Drosophila melanogaster: one gene and its partners. The protein of the gene in region 1 interacts with the protein of each later gene in a pairwise test. Each region holds a gene or a part of one and is shown on either strand. Other genes may lie near its edges.

Evidence for each region. Proteins that work in one complex are often made in the same cells at the same time.
Region 2: the proteins of CG6891 (region 1) and CG13377 interact in a two-hybrid assay, tested with the Drosophila melanogaster proteins (one large-scale study listed by BioGRID).
Region 3: the proteins of CG6891 (region 1) and TwdlB interact in a two-hybrid assay, tested with the Drosophila melanogaster proteins (one large-scale study listed by BioGRID).

Annotation. Positions count from the first base shown.
Region 1 is NC_004354.4:18,773,399-18,781,249, reverse strand, and holds the start of CG6891 (uncharacterized protein), read right to left. Parts: upstream 6,023-7,851; 5' UTR 5,672-6,022; coding exon 5,621-5,671; intron 4,753-5,620; exon of another isoform or gene 4,395-4,752; intron 1,618-4,394; exon of another isoform or gene 1,405-1,617; intron 570-1,404; coding exon 246-569; intron 173-245; coding exon 56-172; 3' UTR 1-55. Other genes in the region: CCKLR-17D3 (Cholecystokinin-like receptor at 17D3), read left to right, coding at 7,465-7,851.
Region 2 is NC_004354.4:257,986-265,867, forward strand, and holds CG13377 (uncharacterized protein), read right to left. Parts: upstream 6,015-7,882; 5' UTR 5,877-6,014; exon of another isoform or gene 5,683-5,876; intron 1,706-5,682; exon of another isoform or gene 1,687-1,705; 5' UTR 1,677-1,686; coding exon 908-1,676; exon of another isoform or gene 844-907; coding exon 620-843; 3' UTR 350-619; downstream 1-349. Other genes in the region: cin (cinnamon), read left to right, coding at 1-95, 157-300.
Region 3 is NT_033777.3:26,621,937-26,625,478, forward strand, and holds TwdlB (TweedleB), read right to left. Parts: upstream 1,608-3,542; 5' UTR 1,561-1,607; coding exon 1,546-1,560; intron 1,478-1,545; coding exon 632-1,477; 3' UTR 515-631; downstream 1-514. Other genes in the region: TwdlL (TweedleL), read right to left, coding at 2,745-3,542.

The sequences.
Region 1 (7,851 bases):
TAAGCAGTTAAGAGTTGCAAAAAAAAATGTATATGTAAAGTAACTTGGAGGCCGCTTAGTTATCCCGGATGCCCGTTCCGTAGTTGGCGCCGCCGGCACGGTTCAGTGCTTCACGGAAGAGCTCAATGTCCAGCTCGGCCTCCACTCCCGCCTGAAGTTCCACGGCAAAATTCTGCAAGAGATTAGAGATGAGAGGATCTATTTCTGCCTCTGGGCTCTGGCATCTCTAGCTATTGGCTACTCACGTTGAGGACATCCTTGATCAGCGCCTTGTCCGTGGACATCTTGGCCCTCTGGATGACGCCCACCTCCTGCCCGATCCACGTCAGGAAGATGAACTTTTTGCGCTTGGACATCTCGTCACCCATCTGGATGCGTATGTAGCCAAAGGCGCGCTCCGAGTCGCCGAACTGCTGTCGGAATTCCTCAAAGCACTGACCGCGCGCATGTACAATAATCTGGGCGCCATCGAACTTGAATACCGCCCACTCGGTGTCTGTCAGATCGGAGCGTACATCCTCGTAGGCCTCGCGAATCGAGTCCTTCTCCAGCGACGTGGCCAGCGGCATCTGCGAAAGAGCAAGGGGGAAGAGGATTATAAGCAAGCGAAGAGGGGAACTATAAGCAACTTTCAGACGGAAGTATATATCTTAATCATGTATTCCAAGTCCGAATCGTTTCGCCAAGGCGAATGGATCATCCGCTTTGGCCCATCGATAGCGAAATGTATTGTATGTACTCAATGCGGGGCCAAGTACTCTTGACGGCGCCATCTATGAGTCAGATTTAAGCGGTGCTTTCGCTTTCGATGGTTATATTACATTCAATTCGACTTGTTTCCGTGTCAGGCAACCTCAAGTCGGCCAGGGGAATAGGCACGCCATTGCATCGCCCACTTGCATTACGTTCGGGCAGATTCACGGAAAGCAATTTGTTGCCGCTTTAGTGCTTTATAAACATAATACCAGCGGGCCAGCGGAAAAGTAGCCAATGTAAATATGTACATATTTCGAAGAAAAAATAAAGGCTTTATTATGATAACATACTGGAACATACCCGCATATTAAATTACAGCATTTTTGATAATGATATCAGCACACACATATGAGGGTTCAGGGTTCTGGTTCAAAGCCCAAAAATATGATGATTTAAAAATATCGATATGTAAATGAATTTAAATTGCTTGATAAGTTCGAATGGCTTGATAGTGAAATGTAAAAAACCAAGTCTCAATACGATTTTGGTTAGCTAAAGATTAATTTTAATTGTGGTTTATTAAGTGATCTTTGGGGTAGCATTATGTGCACAAAGTTAGGCTCAGCTTAGATGCGTGGAAAGCGTGTAAAGCGATTGGATCGATGGTTTTTGATACGAGTATACTTGTAGTACGGATCGGAAAACTACCCTTTCACGTAGTGCACTCTTATTGTCTTAAGCGGATCGCCGCATTAAAATCAATTTACGCGTGACAATTTTCAATCAGCAGCCGGCGGAAAGCAGGTCAGAGATTTGATAAGTGACTTGGGGTCGTCGGAACGGGATGACAACAAACAAAGAGAGCCAAATGACTGTTGGTCCAACTGCCAGCCAAATGGATCGGGCTTGGAGTCAGGAACTAGACTCGCGTATAAATAGACATTGAAGCTGGGCCAGAGATACGGATACAGATACAGCTAAAGGTACAAATACAGATACAGATACAGATACCGATGGGAAGATGGAGATAGAGATCGCTCTATAATGCGTTCAATGACCGGAGAGTACGGCGTCTGGTGAGAAAAATCAATTAGAAAAGCGACGACTGTCGAAAATATCAAAAGCCAAACAATTAAACCCAAAGATGTTTCGGGCGACGACTTTCACAACGCGACGCAGTAAGAACTTGGAGTTTGTATGTGTATTCTATGCGTCGCATAGAACTATGGAACAGCTCTGAATCTCCCGTTTCGTGGCTCTGAATTAATTAGTCGGAAGGCAGGCAAAAAAAAAAAAAAAATGAACAAGATGCGGACGCAAACTGTGCCAAAAATGAGCGGACGACTAAGAAACCGTTGCAGCGAATGACCCACCGAAAATACCCGACAAATTTTCCCCCAAACAAGCAAGATAGCAGATACAAATGTATATAGAAATGTCGGTGCTCCTCCTGCAACCTCCACGGGTACGTGAGCCAAATTGTTGGCTAAAATTAGCTGAAATTAAGTTTCCAGCCGATAAGCCCGATAACGTTCGCACATATGTATCTATATACATATATATGCCTATATGGCCATATCTCCACTTCTGACACAATGACAACACGACAAATTAGATCACTCCAGTTGGGCTGGGAGTGCACCCAAAGATCGGATAGGATAGGCTCGGATAGCCCCACCTCCGGAATTGACGCAATGCCATCTATTTGCTCTGATAAGAAAACTGTCGCAAAACTAAAGGAACTGTAATTGATTTATTACCGAAAGTTCTTGGGATCGCCCGGGCAATTAGTGCCGGTTAAATCTGTAGGGCTCGCCTGTTCCAATTTTACACGCCATAAAAATTCAGCAGAGATTGACGCTTAGTCATAGGAATCGAGATATTGCGCTGGCTTCAGGAAATATATCGAAAAAAGGGAAACTACAATAGTTTCAAGGAAAGTCAGAGTGCGTCATCCTCGAAAGATTCGCATAGAAAAGCGAGCGACAGTAGCCAGTCCATAATTGATACGGTTAATCGTGATTCGTGATTCTCGATGGAAAACAGTGAGCAACAGTCTGATAAGTAACCTTGTAGCGATGACAGGAAATGTATATGCATACATATTTTCAGTTTCACTTGGAACCACCAATAATCCTAACAGATCCATTGAGTTAGCCACCTTTCCAGCAGGAAAGCCATCTGCCAAACAATTCGCGCTACTCAAATGGCTTGCGGCCATATCCGATAGATAGATGTACATATGTATTATATCTATCTATATATGTGGATTCGTACGTAATGAGCCATATATGCCCATGTGTGCATTCATACAGCACGCTGCATTGCCAGCTAGATATATGTAGCTATAGTATCTATAGCTATATCCATCGATATCTGGCAATGAGCGGGCCGGCGATGCATCAAACGCGGCTATAACTGCAGCTAAACGTAACCAAGCATAATACAGCAAATAACAATTTGCTAACGAAAACGAAACCGAATCCCCAGCGCCAGGTGCTTGAAACTGACTTGCTGCGTAACTCAACGCTGATACCCTTGTGAAAGGTATCGCAGTTGTAGAAATTCTTGGGATACCTTTAAAATAAACATCTATGAGAACGTATTGTATGTAAATAATCCTGTCCTTAAGTAAACAGCAAGCTATCGAGAACTACAGAGTGAATGGTATTATATCCGTATCTTTTATCATTCGATGCCTGGTATACACCACTGACATTATTTCAAGTTAACTCTGTTTGTATAGTTTATATATCTAATTGTATGGTATATATAGATCGTGAGCTCATAAAGCAAATACTGAAGTATGAACAATAAAAGTTAGAGTATTCACTTTCGATTGCACTAAACATTTTGTATTTTATTCGCTTTTTCATTGTGTATGTACAAGTGGACCGAAAGTGTTTTATGTTGACTAATGAATTTCAGATAAGAAACGAAAAAAATTCCAAATAATACGATCGGGCATGAATAAAGGAAAATAAAGGAGAGGCGATGCAGATATATATATGACATACATGCACAGTGAAAACACAATATGCGGAATATTCGTGGGTCGATGCAACTGACTCATTGGCAAGGCAATTGGAAAATAACCAATAAATTGCAGCGAATCGGTTATTAACCGCTTCGCCTTGGCCAGACTAAGTCCAAAAAAAAAAAAAAAATAAATAAAACAAGCAAAAAAAATAATTGGCAATGTTGTGACAAATTGCCAGTTGCCGCAGCGCAGTCGCAATGACGTACTTGCTCCGGGTCTGGGACCGCCGATATGTCAATGTTCTTTTTCCCCCACTTTACTTTACTTTATTTCATTTCATTTTATTTCTTATTTTTATTCCGCTGCCGTCGATGTTTCATTCGCCACGCACACTAGCACAAACAGTGCAGGAAACAAAGGAGCAAACTGTTTTGTGGCTGCTCACGCCCCAGACGCCCGGAGTCGGGGGATCTGGGATGCCGGATGGGGTTGTGGATGGTCATTCTGATGGGTACGGGGTATCGGTATGGGGTACGGGTTGCGGGTTGCGGGAAACGAGGTTCCGAGTGCGTGATTCATGCCGCCTGAAGGTGACGACGACGACGACGACTCGGGGAGTGGATGACCAAAATTGGCGCGTCAGGAAGCGATTCCCGAGCATTGAAAGGGTGTGGAATGGCCGATATCCCCATCGATTCCATACACTTTTATTACTCACTTGTTTGCCTGCACTTGGAAACCTCGAAATTGTAATATTTATTGGCCTGCACAATCGTTTTGTTTGATGCCATAGAGATTAGGTTGGCGAACAAGTGCTGTGCACCAAAAGTCACATGAAACGCAGATCTTGCGATCAGCTGAACGAAGTACCCGCAAGATAATGGCACTGCAACCATTTACCCAGCTCCCAGTGCCCGCTAAATACCGTAATCTGGAAAGCTATACGTGTTTGCCAGGGCGACGGACTGCGCCGCATTAACCGCAGCGTCTTCGTTGGGTATCGATGGTGTCTCGAGATCCCAGCGAGCAAGTGCAGCAGCGGCAGCCGCACTGCAAACGCACTTGAACTTGATATGCATCGCTGCGAAGGCGTCGCATTCGGATTCAGTTTTTGGGTTCGGATTCGGATTCGGAGTCGCCCCCACAATCTGCATCCGCCCCCGCAATCGCATCCAGCCAAGATGATATTGCCCCTCGGTACTCAGTCCCTGTTCCTGCCCTGCCCTGCCCCTTTCCGCCCAGCCAGCCAGAGCCATAAAACCCAGCTGCCACCCCGCCTCCTGGACCTCTGGCCCTCTGGGGCCGGTTCTTGTGGAGCGGAGTCGCCGGCGAGCCAATGTCAGAGTTATTTACAGACACTCACGCATGCCCAGCGATATACACACACGCCGCATGGGCCTGGGCTTCAGCAACTCCAGTGTGTACACCGGAAGAAAACTGTATTTTGTATCCTTAAAGCCAATGTCCGAGTTCAATACCACTGTTGGTAATTGAATTTTTATATTATTGTATATTTCTACTAATCCCCAATATTTTTCAATATATATTTGAACAATTTAAAGTTCGAAAATCGATCATTATTCTCAAGAGAATATTATTTTTTTTTAGCATTCTTTAATTGTAGGTATTTATAATGTAGTGGTGATTAGAACTTTCTTCCATTTTAAGGTTGTGCCATCGGATTGGCTCAGCCTTAAAAGTGATCAGCATACTGAGTACCCGTTTTCTTTCGGTGCATTTATAAGATATCTCTCCGGCCTGCTCTCTGACTCTCTGGACTTCTGGCTGCCCCATCCAATCTTTTATAATTCTTAATTTTCGGTCGTCCCCTGCCGGTATACACACACATTTCATGGTCCCTGCCCGGAGCAGGACTACCGACTCCATCCATCTCCAACTCCAACTCGAACTCCATGTGTGCCCAACCCACTCCCCACTACTCACCCTTCTCGGCTTGCTCTCCACCAATTGCTCGACCTCGATGCCGTCCGACATGCTGGTGCGCTGTGTTCTGGATGTGGATGTAGATATGGTTTTCAATGCGCAGCTGGGATGCTGGTGCTCTTGGGAACAGCTTCCTGGGATCGCGGGTGAGTCTCGAAGGGGAACGGAGTGCTGGTCTGGCGGGAAGAGTTGACCGTTTGCAAGGTGACAAAGTGGCAGAGTGGCAGAGTGGCACAATGACAACGAAAACAAAAATACACAGCGCCAGAAAAACAACAAAAAAACACAATCCAAGCGCACAAAGAGCGATGGACAGAACCAGCACAGTTCCAGATATCCAGATATTAGAGCAGCCGCTGAACTTCGTCCGACCACCACGAGTTGTATCTCACGAATGCGGCGTTGCCGGCGTCTGCAACTCCGAATGAAGTGCCGACCGTCGACCGCCGAAGTCGGCGGCGCAGTCGCCGTGCGTGCGAGCGAGATGCACTGGCCAGAAGGCCCCACGGCAGCTGTTAGACAAACAGCAGGTGCGACAGAGACGGCTGCGTGGGGAGCAAGCGAGAGCGGGCGAACTGCGACGATGTCGCCGCATTTGGCTTTATTTTCATTTTCATTTTCAGTGCAGGCATTTCGGAAACACCAAAAAAAGCCAGATGTTGGCTAGTGTTTTATGCGTACACCGCGAGAAAATTTAGTCTGCTAGATGCTCCTATAATGATAATGAAGTTTGCATAAATACTTCGTGTTAGCCATCTTAACTGGCAATGGCCACAGGAAACCATAACATCGTGCGCAAATATATGTATAGTCAGATGGATAGAAAAACAACGACTGTACTCCTCCATCTAAACTATGTACGTCCTTAAGGATCAGCTGAATCCCTTGAAGAAGATCTCTTCCTCGATGGTGAAGAGGCTTACGAGAAGTGAATTCTATCTATTCTATCAAAACATGAATTTATTGGATTTATTGGGTTTCTTCGGCAACACGGATTCCTGGCATAGTCATATCCAGTATCCCAGTGGAGTCACGTCTTACCACTGCAGCTCCCGGTCATGTTATTTTCCTTCATCGAGGGCTATTCCATTCACTTCCTGCGCCGAAAAAACGAGCAACAATTGCAAGCGAAAAGGTAGTCTTTGAAATAGATGCTATAGGTGCTAATCGGAATCGCTATATATCCAAAACTATGTCTAGATCAGCACTGATCCCTGCCAGCTTGTCGGCTGGGAATGCGATCCGTGGAATTAGCGCAGAACATTTGTGCAAACACATAACGAGCCGAGATTGTATTCTCTGGCACTCAAGTGCCGTAGGAATGCGGCTGATTTGATGATTAGCGCGGTGCGTGGGCCGAACAGCAGCTGCTCCGCCGCTGCAGACGCCATGGATGATGCAGTGCACCGTATTAATTTGTCCCAATCGGCAGGGAACGTCCTCCGCGCAACATGGGAGTTGCCCGGCAACAGGGCTGCCTGGCAGCATGCTGCTAGCCACAAGTTGCCGTGGTGAGTTTGCGCCATTCGGCATCGCCCACGCAACATGTTGCGGCAGCTAGCCCAGCGGAGCGGAGGCGTCGTCCTCGTCCGCCAGTCGTCAGTTGCCCACGACGCGTTACCCGCAACGGTAGCAGGCGAGCCCTCTCCTGGCAGCCAAAGCCGCCAGCTCGTGTGCTCGGATACCCCCGAGTTCCATATCGCAATCTTTGCCAGCCTGCGCGCAAGCGTCGCCGTTTCAATAGCAATTGAGTGAAATTTTATTTTATTTTTTTCGGTGACCCGCAACGGGACATGTCAGGCGGTGGTGGCCAGTGATTGCCACGAATCACCCGGTCATCCGGGATGTTCAACTACGAGGAGGGGGATGCCGACCAGGCGGCCATGGCTGCAGCGGCTGCCTATAGGGCACTGCTCGACTACTATGCCAATGCGCCAAGTGCGGCGGGTCACATAGTGTCGCTCAACGTGGCACCCTACAATGGAACTGGAAACGGAGGCACTGTCTCCTTGGCGGGCAATGCGACAAGCAGCTATGGCGATGATGATAGGGATGGCTATATGGACACCGAGCCCAGTGACCTGGTCACCGAACTGGCCTTCTCCCTGGGCACCAGTTCAAGTCCAAGTCCCAGTTCCACACCCGCTTCCAGCTCCAGTACTTCCACTGGCATGCCCGTCTGGCTGATACCCAGCTATAGCATGATTCTGCTGTTCGCCGTGCTGGGCAAC
Region 2 (7,882 bases), about 19 Mb from region 1:
TTAATGACTTCAGCTTAGATAGCCGCCCGGAGTTCGTTCGGGCCTCCGTGATTTCGAAGTCTGGAGAGTTATACGCGAGCGTCAATGGAAATCAAGTAAGCCACTTTTCCTTAAATTAAACGACATATTATGACGGTTTTCCTGCGATTATTCTAGATTAGTAGTCGCTTGCAGAGCATTGTTGGTGCCGATGTTTTAATAAACCTTCCTGCACGTACTTCTGATCGACCATTGGCGAAAGCTGGTGAAATTTTCCCGGCCTCCGTGTTGCGCTTTGACTTTATCTCGAAGTACGAATAAGAACTACACAAACGTAAAATGTAAAACAAAGGTATAAATTCCAGAAGTTGGACAGACATATATAGACAGCACATATATTATCTTTATTTTTTTATGTATGATAACATTAAATATAACGTTCAACAATTACACCGTTAGCAGTGTGAGCAAAAACGATTAAAAAGTAAATATTATAAAAGCCCTCAGAACAGAAAAAAGAAACATCAATCGAAATATATTGTAAAAATATTAAATTAGGGAAAGGAGCAGGATCAGACGCGTTATACTAAATGGGATCAGGATCAGGAGCATATGTACAGGAAATGGAAGAAGACAAATTTTAAACCGACTGACTGGCGCTCTCGCCGACTGTTGAAGCTACCGGCCTCTGAAGTCGCAGCGAGGAGCGACATGGCAACGCAAATTGGTATTTGTTATGACTTAGAAGCGCATATCGCTGCTGCGGAACATAGTCCCACAACGCCCGCTCGATCACATGAAGAGCGTCCGGACTGAGCACGTCCGCTGTATACTGCGTAGGAGCCCCAACGACCAAGGACATGGCTGAAATAAATTACAAACATAAAATTATATATAATTGATTCCCAACGATGATGGAAAACATTACTTTGTGCCACTGGTGCCTTGTACAATGACTCCGCCGTCATGCCGCATGTATCCAAAGCGACCACACTGACGCCATAGGGATGCAGCTCCTTGCGCAGCTCTTCGGCACACTTGTCTACGGCAACGCGTGAGGCGTTAAAGGCAACCAGTCCATCACCTTCGTTTCGAGCATTTCCACCTCCACTTACTCCTCCCAAGTAAAGGAGTCTTCCACGTGTCGGACGGAGAAAACACACAAAGGCCTTGGCCACACGTAAGGTGCCCAGGATGTTGGTTCTGAGCATGTGTTCCCACTGCTGGACATTCTGCGATTCAACCTGGCCTCGGAAAACACTGCCACTAGTGTTAATTACGGCCGCAATACCGCGCTCATCTGCATTTAGATTAGCGCCTATAATAACGGTGGCCTCGCGAAGCACATCCTCTCGGGTGACATCCAATCTCATCGGAATAATTGTGCCTGCAATGGGTTCCTCACTGTACTCTCGGATCTTCATCCAACCGCAAAGAAGTTTGGCGGGTAGCGAATCTTGGGCCTCTTTCATTCCAGCAAAAACCCGATAACCCTTGTTAGCCAAATGGGTGCACAATTGAAGACCCAATGCGGTATCCGCACTGGTTATCAGGACCACCCGACTGGGATGACTATCCGCATTGGCAGATGCGCTATCCTCGCGCACCTTACAAATCAGGTAGATAAGCAGCGCGCCGGCGATCGAAAAAAGCGCAAGCAACTGGAAGCCCAACACCAGCATGGTCATTGCCTCCATTATGACATCGCTGGAATAGCAGAAAAAAGGTGAGATTAAAGGTGAACAATGTGGTAGAACTGAAAATGTAATTTGTTTTATACTGACTACAGATGATCTTTCTTACATTTACTCAGTCGGCAATCTTCATAAAAATATTTAAACCTAGCAAGAGTTTAACGTTATAGTGCATTTAATTGGTACATTTTAGAGGATTTGATTATATAGCCGAATTAAAAAAAGAAAGAAATTGTATATAAATAGCAAATAGTTAAGCAATCTGAAGTGCTATACAGTTGCAAATGTAACACGAACCTCAAAAGCTTTGGGGCATTATCGTAAAATGTTTAAGGTGTTCGGTTTTTACAACTGATGTTTCATTCGATGCGTTTTGAGCAAGATGTCAATGACATTTATCCCTACGACCTCGAACAGCTCTTATTATATATTAATATATATAATAAATTTTAGAATTTTTAATTTCACTTTCTCCTGAAGTCTTAATATGCAATCCTTTTTAGTTCTGCGGTGTCTCGTAGTGACCGAAGAATCGCAGTAGACTTGATGCAATATAATAATAAACAATAAGCAATATATAATAAACCCAATGCGTTTTAAACCTCTAAGAATATATATGAGATTGGGTATTTAAATATTAAGAACTTTATAAATGTTTTTTAATGAAACTATGTCTGGATCTAATCGACACTTTTTCATTTAGGCGAGAAGTTTAATAACCTTTTAGAGTTCGGTAACCAGAGATTGAATTTATATAGTCTGGGTATATTAAGATGTTAGGAAATTAAACATCAAGAAGTTTATAAAGGTTTGATAACGAAAATGTGTGTAACACGTATATATTTACTTTATTGGACACTTTCTCTTCCAAACGAGGAGTTTAATCACCCTCTAGAGTTGGGTAACCTGAGATTGCACTTGCAGTATATGAAGTGGATATACATACACGTATACATATGCATGTACATCTCAGTCTGACTCTTGAGCCTCAAATAACAACTTTACGCTTGTCTTGCACTATTTCCTCTCTTTTTATTTGTAATTATTTAATTATTGCACATTTTTCAACGCGTGTACAAAAATTCGGCCGATCTCTTGAAGAAATCGAAAATGTTCCAAGTGGGGTAACGGCATATAGATACATAGCTATCCAAGTATTTTTGGATCCATGGACACGTCAAACGAACGTGTCCAGCGAGGCGTACCCAACCATTTGGAAGTAAGCTATGACTACGTTTTCTCGACTTTCCACTTCTGATGAGGAAAATGAAGGAAGGATGGGGTCTGGTATGTGCGTTTTACAGACAGGGGATGAACCGAACTGAGAGTTTGTGCCCATACTACTCTAGTTGAAGAGCTATGACAAGTCTTTTTAACCCAATTACACAGCAAATAAATAGTTCCAGTCGGTATCAGTTTACGCCGCTTGAAGTTTTGATATTTGATTTTTGATCATTATTAAAAAAAATTTATTGGTGATCAAATAATTCTTCGAGGTAAATTATGAAAATTAAAGGCATAATGACAGTTTTATCTTTTGCTTGAACTAGCTGTTAAATTTACATACTCTGACTGCTTCACCGTTTTCCTTCATTGTTAAGCTGAAAGAAATTTGTTGACGCTCGGAAATGGGCTTGCCATATCTGCAGCATTTCGGGCTTACTCGCGGAATTTATGTGTAGGATAAACGTAATGTACGCTGATTTTGGTCAAACTACCGATACAGTGATACTGCAACCGCAACCGGCTAGGTAATAAAACAAACAAACGGCTTAAAAAACAAAAGCATTATGGCAATCAAACAATACGAGGAAATTGGAAAAACTTAGTGAGAAGATTTAACGAATTTAATTTATTTAATTTTTAGTTAAGAATTATATTTACAAGATTTCGTATCTGAGCTAAGATGTGAAGTACATTACTTTCATTGTTCTATATACATATTGTATGAATCTATCGTGTTTGGCCACGATTTAACATACCCACTGCAATGAATTAAAAATCTTTGCAAGACTTTTCTTTTTAGTTCTTTGTTTTTGATTAAGTTTACGGCGTTGCCATTCTATTGAAGTTCACAACCAGCACTTTTTTATTATATTCCGCTTGTTTTCAAGTTCAGATGTAAGATAGTGGCGATTGTTGATGTTGCTATTCCCCATTAAGATTAGATCATCGGCTTCCAGTCAAGTGAGCTAAGCACGGGCGTGATGGCACTTTACTCCGAGAATTTGGGATCGGATGACATCATTATTGCGACCCATCAATATGTGGTTACATTTCGTGGGAGTAGTAAAAGGAAACCTATAAATGATAATCTACCATCGCTTTCGACCGAATTGTTCCCTTGGCTAGGATAAAATGAGTTCAATCAAAGGGTTTCTATGCAAGGAAGAAAGTATTTGATGATAACGTATAAAGTATGTATAGATAATTTTTGTTAGCATGACAATTCCAGTTTATATAGCTTTGTGTATAAGTCTTTCTTTTTAAAGATATTTCATTTTTATATCTTGCAAATATTTATATCTTGCTACGACGAGGTTGTGTAAAAAGTTGTTTCGATGTATAAAACCTTTGTATTTTTGTTTGCAAACCAATTATTGATTCATAAGCAAATTCGGATATCGTGTGTGTGTCATGTATAATTGCACTTTATTTTAAATTTAGATGTCTACTCTTGTTGGCCCAAAAATCGAAAATAAAATCTTAAAAAATGCTTTGCGTTGCAGCTGAACAACTTCACGCTCCATTCAGCATTAAAATTGCTTTGTGCCACTTTCAAAGCTATTTCTATTTCAACAAAGTCAATTGCTTCTCTGAAATGTTTTTTTTTTTTATTATTTCTTATTTTCTATTTGCAACCATTTGGAATGCCTTCTATGCACTTTTAAGCTTTTTTCTTGTTGGAAACATACACGAAATCAGATGGGACTTAATCAATTGATGCTTAAGGGCTTACACGTATATAACTGTAAACATCTTTGTTTCTGCGGGAAGGCCCCAAAAGTCAAGGATATCTTACATCAAATGGATAGGCACAGAACGGTTGGAAACGATAATAAAATAGAGACAGACAGATTAACAAATTCTGCTGACTTAACCATCAGTGGCAGTCAATTCGAAAAAATAAAAAAAAAGTTCAGTGTAATCGCGAACATTTAGGACGTTGTCATCAAACTTTCCTTTCCTAGTGTTTCCACTTTATAATTGAGGTTTTTTGATGGTTGATCTGCGTATGCTTCGGGAATTTTAATCATATGTCTCTGTTTGGACATGCCTAATAATTTTTTGTTGCGTATACGCCGTTTCCATGCAACTGACAAAGAATCCACAACGAAATATCTATACACTTTCGAAAAATATTTTTATTATATAGAAATATATCTGCATTTGCTTTGCAGTCATGGCACTCGTCTATAGCCTGTGTTTTCATTTTTTTTTTTTTTTATGTCAGAAGAGTGTGGTGTTGAACATAATTTTGGTCGAATTTAGTTAATGGTTTACCTTTATCATATCTGTACTGTTAAATCTGTTTAAAAACAAGCTCTGAAATAGAGTTAAAAATACTTAAGAAAACGGGCTCTGAACCAAAGAAACACATTCTCAAAAAGCGTAGCAACGGTTAATTTTTTTCGGTACTCAGTTAATAAATGCATCCAAATTTAAAAGTGAACCTGTCTGAATCTTAAATGATTTGAGCAACAGGATCAACAATCTTGTGTGCGAGCTTGTGGAAGAGCTATTCCAGAACCGGTTTCCCCATATCAGAACTTGTTGCTTTTTGCATTCAAGCCATTGCTTGCCATGATTTAATAATTATATCTGGCGCATTATTGTTTCTGTTGCCAAGATAAAATCGGAATGCAAAGCTAAACACGCTTTAGCTAGTGTGGAAAAATCTGCAGTTGAAGCCAAGATAAAATCGGAATACAAAGCGGGGAATGTGGGGGATCGTGCCGTCGTCATTCGAAGGCCCAGCTTTTGGCCCTAAGACACGTTTGGAGCTCACCTTTTGGAATGTGTCTAATTAAAGTTAAAACCTGGTTGGCTAAAAGAATTACACTTAGACAAAACTTTATTATAGAAACAAAAAAAAAAAAAAAAGTATATTTTCCAACGCGACGCGAATATATACTTGATAATTCACTTTAAATTCACTATAATGTCTTGAATTTTGTTTTTTGATTTATTTATTTTACACACAGTCTGCCAGGCCCAGGCCTGATTGAGTGCGACAGAGAGAGAGTTATGCTACTTATTATTTGTTGTTTTCAACTCTCGAGTCTGCGATATTTTTCCGCACTGCGACTTTATTGACTGAGTTTGAACTGAAGACTGGTGGCTTGAATTTCGGGTTTGCTTAACCGAACAAAAATAGCCGAAGACCAGGCGTCGTAGACGAAGTCTTTCGGCCCCATCACGTAGAGTCGTGCCCCCCACCTTTTGTAAAGGCCTTCTTTAAAACTCGCTTTGTGATCGTGTGTTAGGTGAACAAATGTCAAGCGATAGCTGGTGATCCTTAACTGGTTTTAAAGTTTTTGGGGTCCGGAGACATGAATATGAATAATCTTCCCGAACCACTATATTACATACCACATTTTGAAGGCTCACAACCTGTCCAGTGCCTGACAAATATGGGTGCCTTTTTTAGCGCACAATAACTTTTACGAATGTAAGAGTATCATGATTCCGGCGATTAAGTCCCTTGTGGAAATATTGAAATTTCGCTGGTAATTGCAGTGTTAAGTGCCAAATGGTTGAGCTGGATATATGAATATAGACTGGAAGCAAAATCGGCCGAGTTTTTCCGCTCAATTTTGCACTAAGGAAAACCTGAAACACAAGAAAAATTGCCAGCTTGAAAGAAAAGGGGGTAAGAAGCGGTTTGGTTCCAACTGCAATTGGCCAAGTCGACCGAAAACCTGTTGATGGTTTAAGAGAAATATCAATTAAAGCCTATACAGAACATGTACAAGAAGCGAAAATTGAGGCAGCCAATATTATTTTGTTGATGAAAAGGTAAACATTCGGTGCGTTTAGTGAATTTCTCTCTGAAATTTTGGTCAGTAAAAGGAGTTACCATATTGGTTCAACGCTTAAGAAAAAACGCGAAACGAGTTTTTCCAGTAGAAGTCGGTGGAATCTGGCTCTTCTGCCGCCGTTCGCTTAAAGACAAAGTGTCAAAAATTATATAAAGTTTAGCCTATCCACTTTTTAAATTAAAAAGGCTTTACTTGCTTTACGCGTTTCTCGACACCCGTTAGCTTGGCACCTGTTTTGGAATGTCATCCTTTGGTAGTTTCTATTTTTCACAGATCTTAGTTTGTATTCGAAAAACATAAAATAGGTATGGGGACAGTTAGCTAGTTTTATAAACAGCAGTCTTCAAAATACCTGTGATACAATTTTTTGTCGCAGCTATGGAGACAACATTTTTATCTTGCTCTTTTTTTTTGGCAAACAACAATCTGTAGTCCTAATTTTGCCGGTGAATCTTTTTTGGCCAAGTTATGAAAAAAAAACCCGTTTGTAAATATCCGATTTTTGCAAATTTTTATTTTGTTTATTTTTGGCAATTTTTATTTTGTTTATTTTTGGTAAAAAGTAATCAGTATTTTCTCAATAGCATTAAAAACAGCTGTCAAAGAGTTAAATGTCAACCTCATTGAATTCGTAGCAAAATTCCCTATCGTCCTGTATGAAGAAATAAAAATTAATTTTTTTTTTCCCATTTTTCGCAAATTTTAATGATAGGGATAGTTAGCTATGTTTATTGGCAGTACGAAATAGTATTTATTTAAGCGGTTATATCTTATAATAGCTGTCCAAGAGTTTAATAATATAATAATAATGAAAATAGTGATAGGGATAGTTAGCTATGTTTATTGGCAGTACGAAACAGACTGCATATTAGCGGTGATATCTGTTTTGGCCATGTTATGAACTAACCCCTGATAAATCTATAAAAATAGTTGTCTAACATTTGAATACATAACTTGCTTAATTTTATAGTAAATTCACTATTCACCTGTATTCAACAGAAAATGTTTCCATACAGAATGTACAGAATGAAAAACTTACAATTTCTCCTCTATGTTGTTTTCAAAAGTTTTGCCAAAAAATACAATTTCATTACTCATTCAGGCGATTTTGTGCCATAAAAATTTAATTTCGGTTTAAATTACCAGGCGAACAGGAGTTCCAGAACG
Region 3 (3,542 bases), on another chromosome or scaffold:
CATTGCCTTCGTATGTGGGTTGCACTTGAGATTCCTTTCTAATTGTACGTGACACACGACGGGCCTCGGAAACCAGGTCATCTAACAGTTGTTGGCATCTTCGCGACCTTGAGCTGTCGTCGGGAAAGAACCAGTTCCTCGTTGGCCGGGAGTCCGGTATTAATGCTTCCCGCTGGCCAAGTGGGTGGATCTAATCTTGTAGTCAATTAATTTGGCGGCATGCGAGTTGGCTATGTCAGATAATTAGTCCATTGATTTGTATGGAAAGTCTAGGTGAATATGATTCGACGAGGGCTTAAACTCATAAAGGAAACCTGCTCCGAACTGCCTTTCCTGATCTTGATGTCGTCAATTCGAGATATTTATAGTTTGAAGGGCACTTTTTATACTTAACCCATCCGCAAACAATCAAGCCAAACAAGGCGGACTTAATGCACCATTAGCTACTATGGCCAAGCCGCAATAAAAATCTCACTCTATAAAACACATAAGGTAGACCTTTGTTTAAATTTTCGTATTTAAATTTCAAATTTATTGGTGTAATTATGCATTAGTCAACAACGTGTAACAGGAAGAATGAGTTCTTCAGTCGAGATTTGCTTAAGTTAATGGAGTCCAAGATGTAGCCTTCCTAGAAACGCAGACGACGGAACACAGAAGTGGGCAGGTAGGCGTTGTCGGGGATCTGGGCGTTAGCCTTCTGGACGGGTCCAGCGGAGGCGAAGTTCAGGGCGGGTGCAACACCACCATCATGAGCCTGAGAGGATCCTCCCAGCTGGTCGTACTGACCCTGGATGGCGCGCTGGGCGTTGGCAGCATCCTCGGGAGTGCGGTACTTGACGAAGTGCACCTCGGGCTTGTTGTTGTTGTTGTTGCGGATGGCGTTCAGTTTCTGGGCAAGATCTCCAATATCAGCCTGCTTGTTCAGGACATAGATGGCGGTCTCCTGCTGGGCAGCCTGCTTGGCGAGGGCCAGGGCAGCGTTCTCCAGACCACGGTTCTCGGGTCCCTTGATGAAGACAACGCGCAGTCCCTTGTTTACGGATCCAGCAACACGCTCCAGTTCTTGTGGCTCATCGAAGTCCTGCTCGTTGGCGGAGTAGGTGAAGAATTCCTTCTGGAGCTCAGCAGCGGGAGCGGGGGCGTTGTAGGAGACTGGAGCGGCCAGAGCGTCGCCACCTCCTAGACCACCGAGTCCACCAAGACCGCCAAGACCGGAATCGATGGAGCCACCACCGATGGAACCACCAAGGGATCCACCTCCGATGCTTCCTCCTCCGATAGAGCCACCACCAATGAGGCCTCCTCCAATAGAGCCTCCTCCAATAGAACCTCCTCCGATGGAGCCTCCTCCAATAGATCCACCACTGATAGAGCCGCTGCCAGGAGCGAAGGACAGTCCGGAGCTGGAGTGGCCAACGGGCTGGTAGTTGTAGCCGAGCTTATCGGCGCAGGTGACTGCCACCAAACACAGGACCTGGAGGCATGAAAAGAGAAGTGTTATCCTGGCGTATAATCCTTTGAATCCTTAACCGCGCTACTTACAATGAATGCGCGCATCTTAAGCAGATTGCTGGTTCTTTTGCTTTGAGGTATGAGTTGCTTGTGTCTCTGGCTAGGAGCGATCTTTATTATTTATACAAATCCATCTTGGAGGCTGATAAAGACAAAGATACCGCCGCGGCGTCTGCTGCACGGAGATTTCTTTGAAGCCACTGTGTTTTGCCGCCTACAAAGGTTTTTGCTTCCTCTGTTTTTTTTAATGTTCGGTGTGGAATTTTTTGGTTGCGTTTCAATGGGCAGAGTCTGGCCGTCGTGGGTTATTCAAATATTTCGAGTTTCGTCCAATAGTTTACAAGAATTCATATTGAATTATAAAATTAATATGTCGCGAGCACGTCGGAATGAGTTTAACATGCAGATGGGTCATAATTAGGTACGAGTATTATATAAAATACATTTTTTTGACAAATTCTTCGGCAAGGCTAAAAGCTTGTTTTATGTAGGACATCTGCACTTGGTTTTTCCGACTGAATGACAATCGTTTAGTCATTATAATCGTTTTCGACACATCTGTTTAGTTCTGATTTATGGACATGATGCAAGCGCTAAATTTAGCAAGTCGTCTAATGAGATGTTTGAAATGCCGCCCCCAGTTCATTGATTCTTTATTTTCGCATATATTACTAATGAAATAAAAAATTTAACTTGAGAGTGGTGAAAACGATATGTTTATATTTAATTTAACTTTTTTGTCGTAAAAACATTTTGCCTACATTTAAAATATGCGGAAATATTTTATTTTATTCTTTTCCCAGTACTTCGTAGGATAATATTTTGGTTATGACAAATATTAAACGTCAAGGTCATCGGGAAGCTGCCTTGGGTAATATAGCTTACCAAATTCTTAATGAGTTTTAAAGGTCTTTTGCTTTGTATTAAGTTAATAGCGTTGCACCTTTTTAAGAATAAATTCAAATTAAAAGTCATTACCAAACTTTTTGTGCAATAAAAACAGGTCGAAAAATCTCACCAAAGACTGAAATAATTTTCTAAAAGCCCAACTTGTAACTCCACTCATGTTGTCATCGGAAGGTATACACTATTGTTTACTACACCACCATCCAATATAAAATATCATAGAATGTTTGTATTCAGATTTTTGTATATTATTTATCAATAGATTTCAACAATAAGATTTAACAAGAACAGTCAACGCCTTCATCTCGAAGTCGTTAAAATATTTACAAACGACGACGGAAGATGGAAGTGGGCAGGTAAGCGTTCTCAGGGATCTGAGCATTAGCCTTCTGGACGGGACCAGCGGAGGCGAAGTTCAGGGCGGGTGCCACACCACCGTTGTGGGCCTGAGAGGATCCTCCCAATTGGTCGTACTGCGACTGGATGGCGCGCTGGGCGTTGGCAGCATCCTCGGGAGTGCGGTACTTGACGAAGTGCACCTCGGGCTTGTTGTTATTGTTGTTGCGGATGGCGTTCAGTTTCTGGGCAAGATCTCCAATATCGGCCTGCTTGTTCAGGACATAGATGGCGGTCTCCTGCTGGGCAGCCTGCTTGGCGAGGGCTAGGGCAGCGTTCTCCAGACCACGGTTCTCGGGTCCCTTGATGAAGACAACGCGCAGTCCCTTGTTTACGGATCCAGCAACACGCTCCAGTTCTTGTGGCTCATCGAAGTCCTGCTCGTTGGCGGAGTAGGTGAAGAACTCCTTCTGGAGCTCAGCAGCGGGAGCGGGGGCGTTGTAGGAGACTGGAGCGGCCAGAGCGTCGCCACCTCCTAGACCACCGAGTCCACCAAGACCGCCAAGACCGGAATCAATAGAGCCACCACCGATGGAACCACCAAGGGAACCACCTCCAATGGAACCGCCTCCGATAGAGCCACCACCAATGAGGCCTCCTCCAATGGATCCTCCTCCAATGGAGCCTCCTCCAATCGAACCACCTCCAATGGATCCACCTCCAATGCTGCCACTTCCAGGAGCAAAGGACAGTCCGGAGCTGGAGTGTCCCACGGGCTGGTAGTT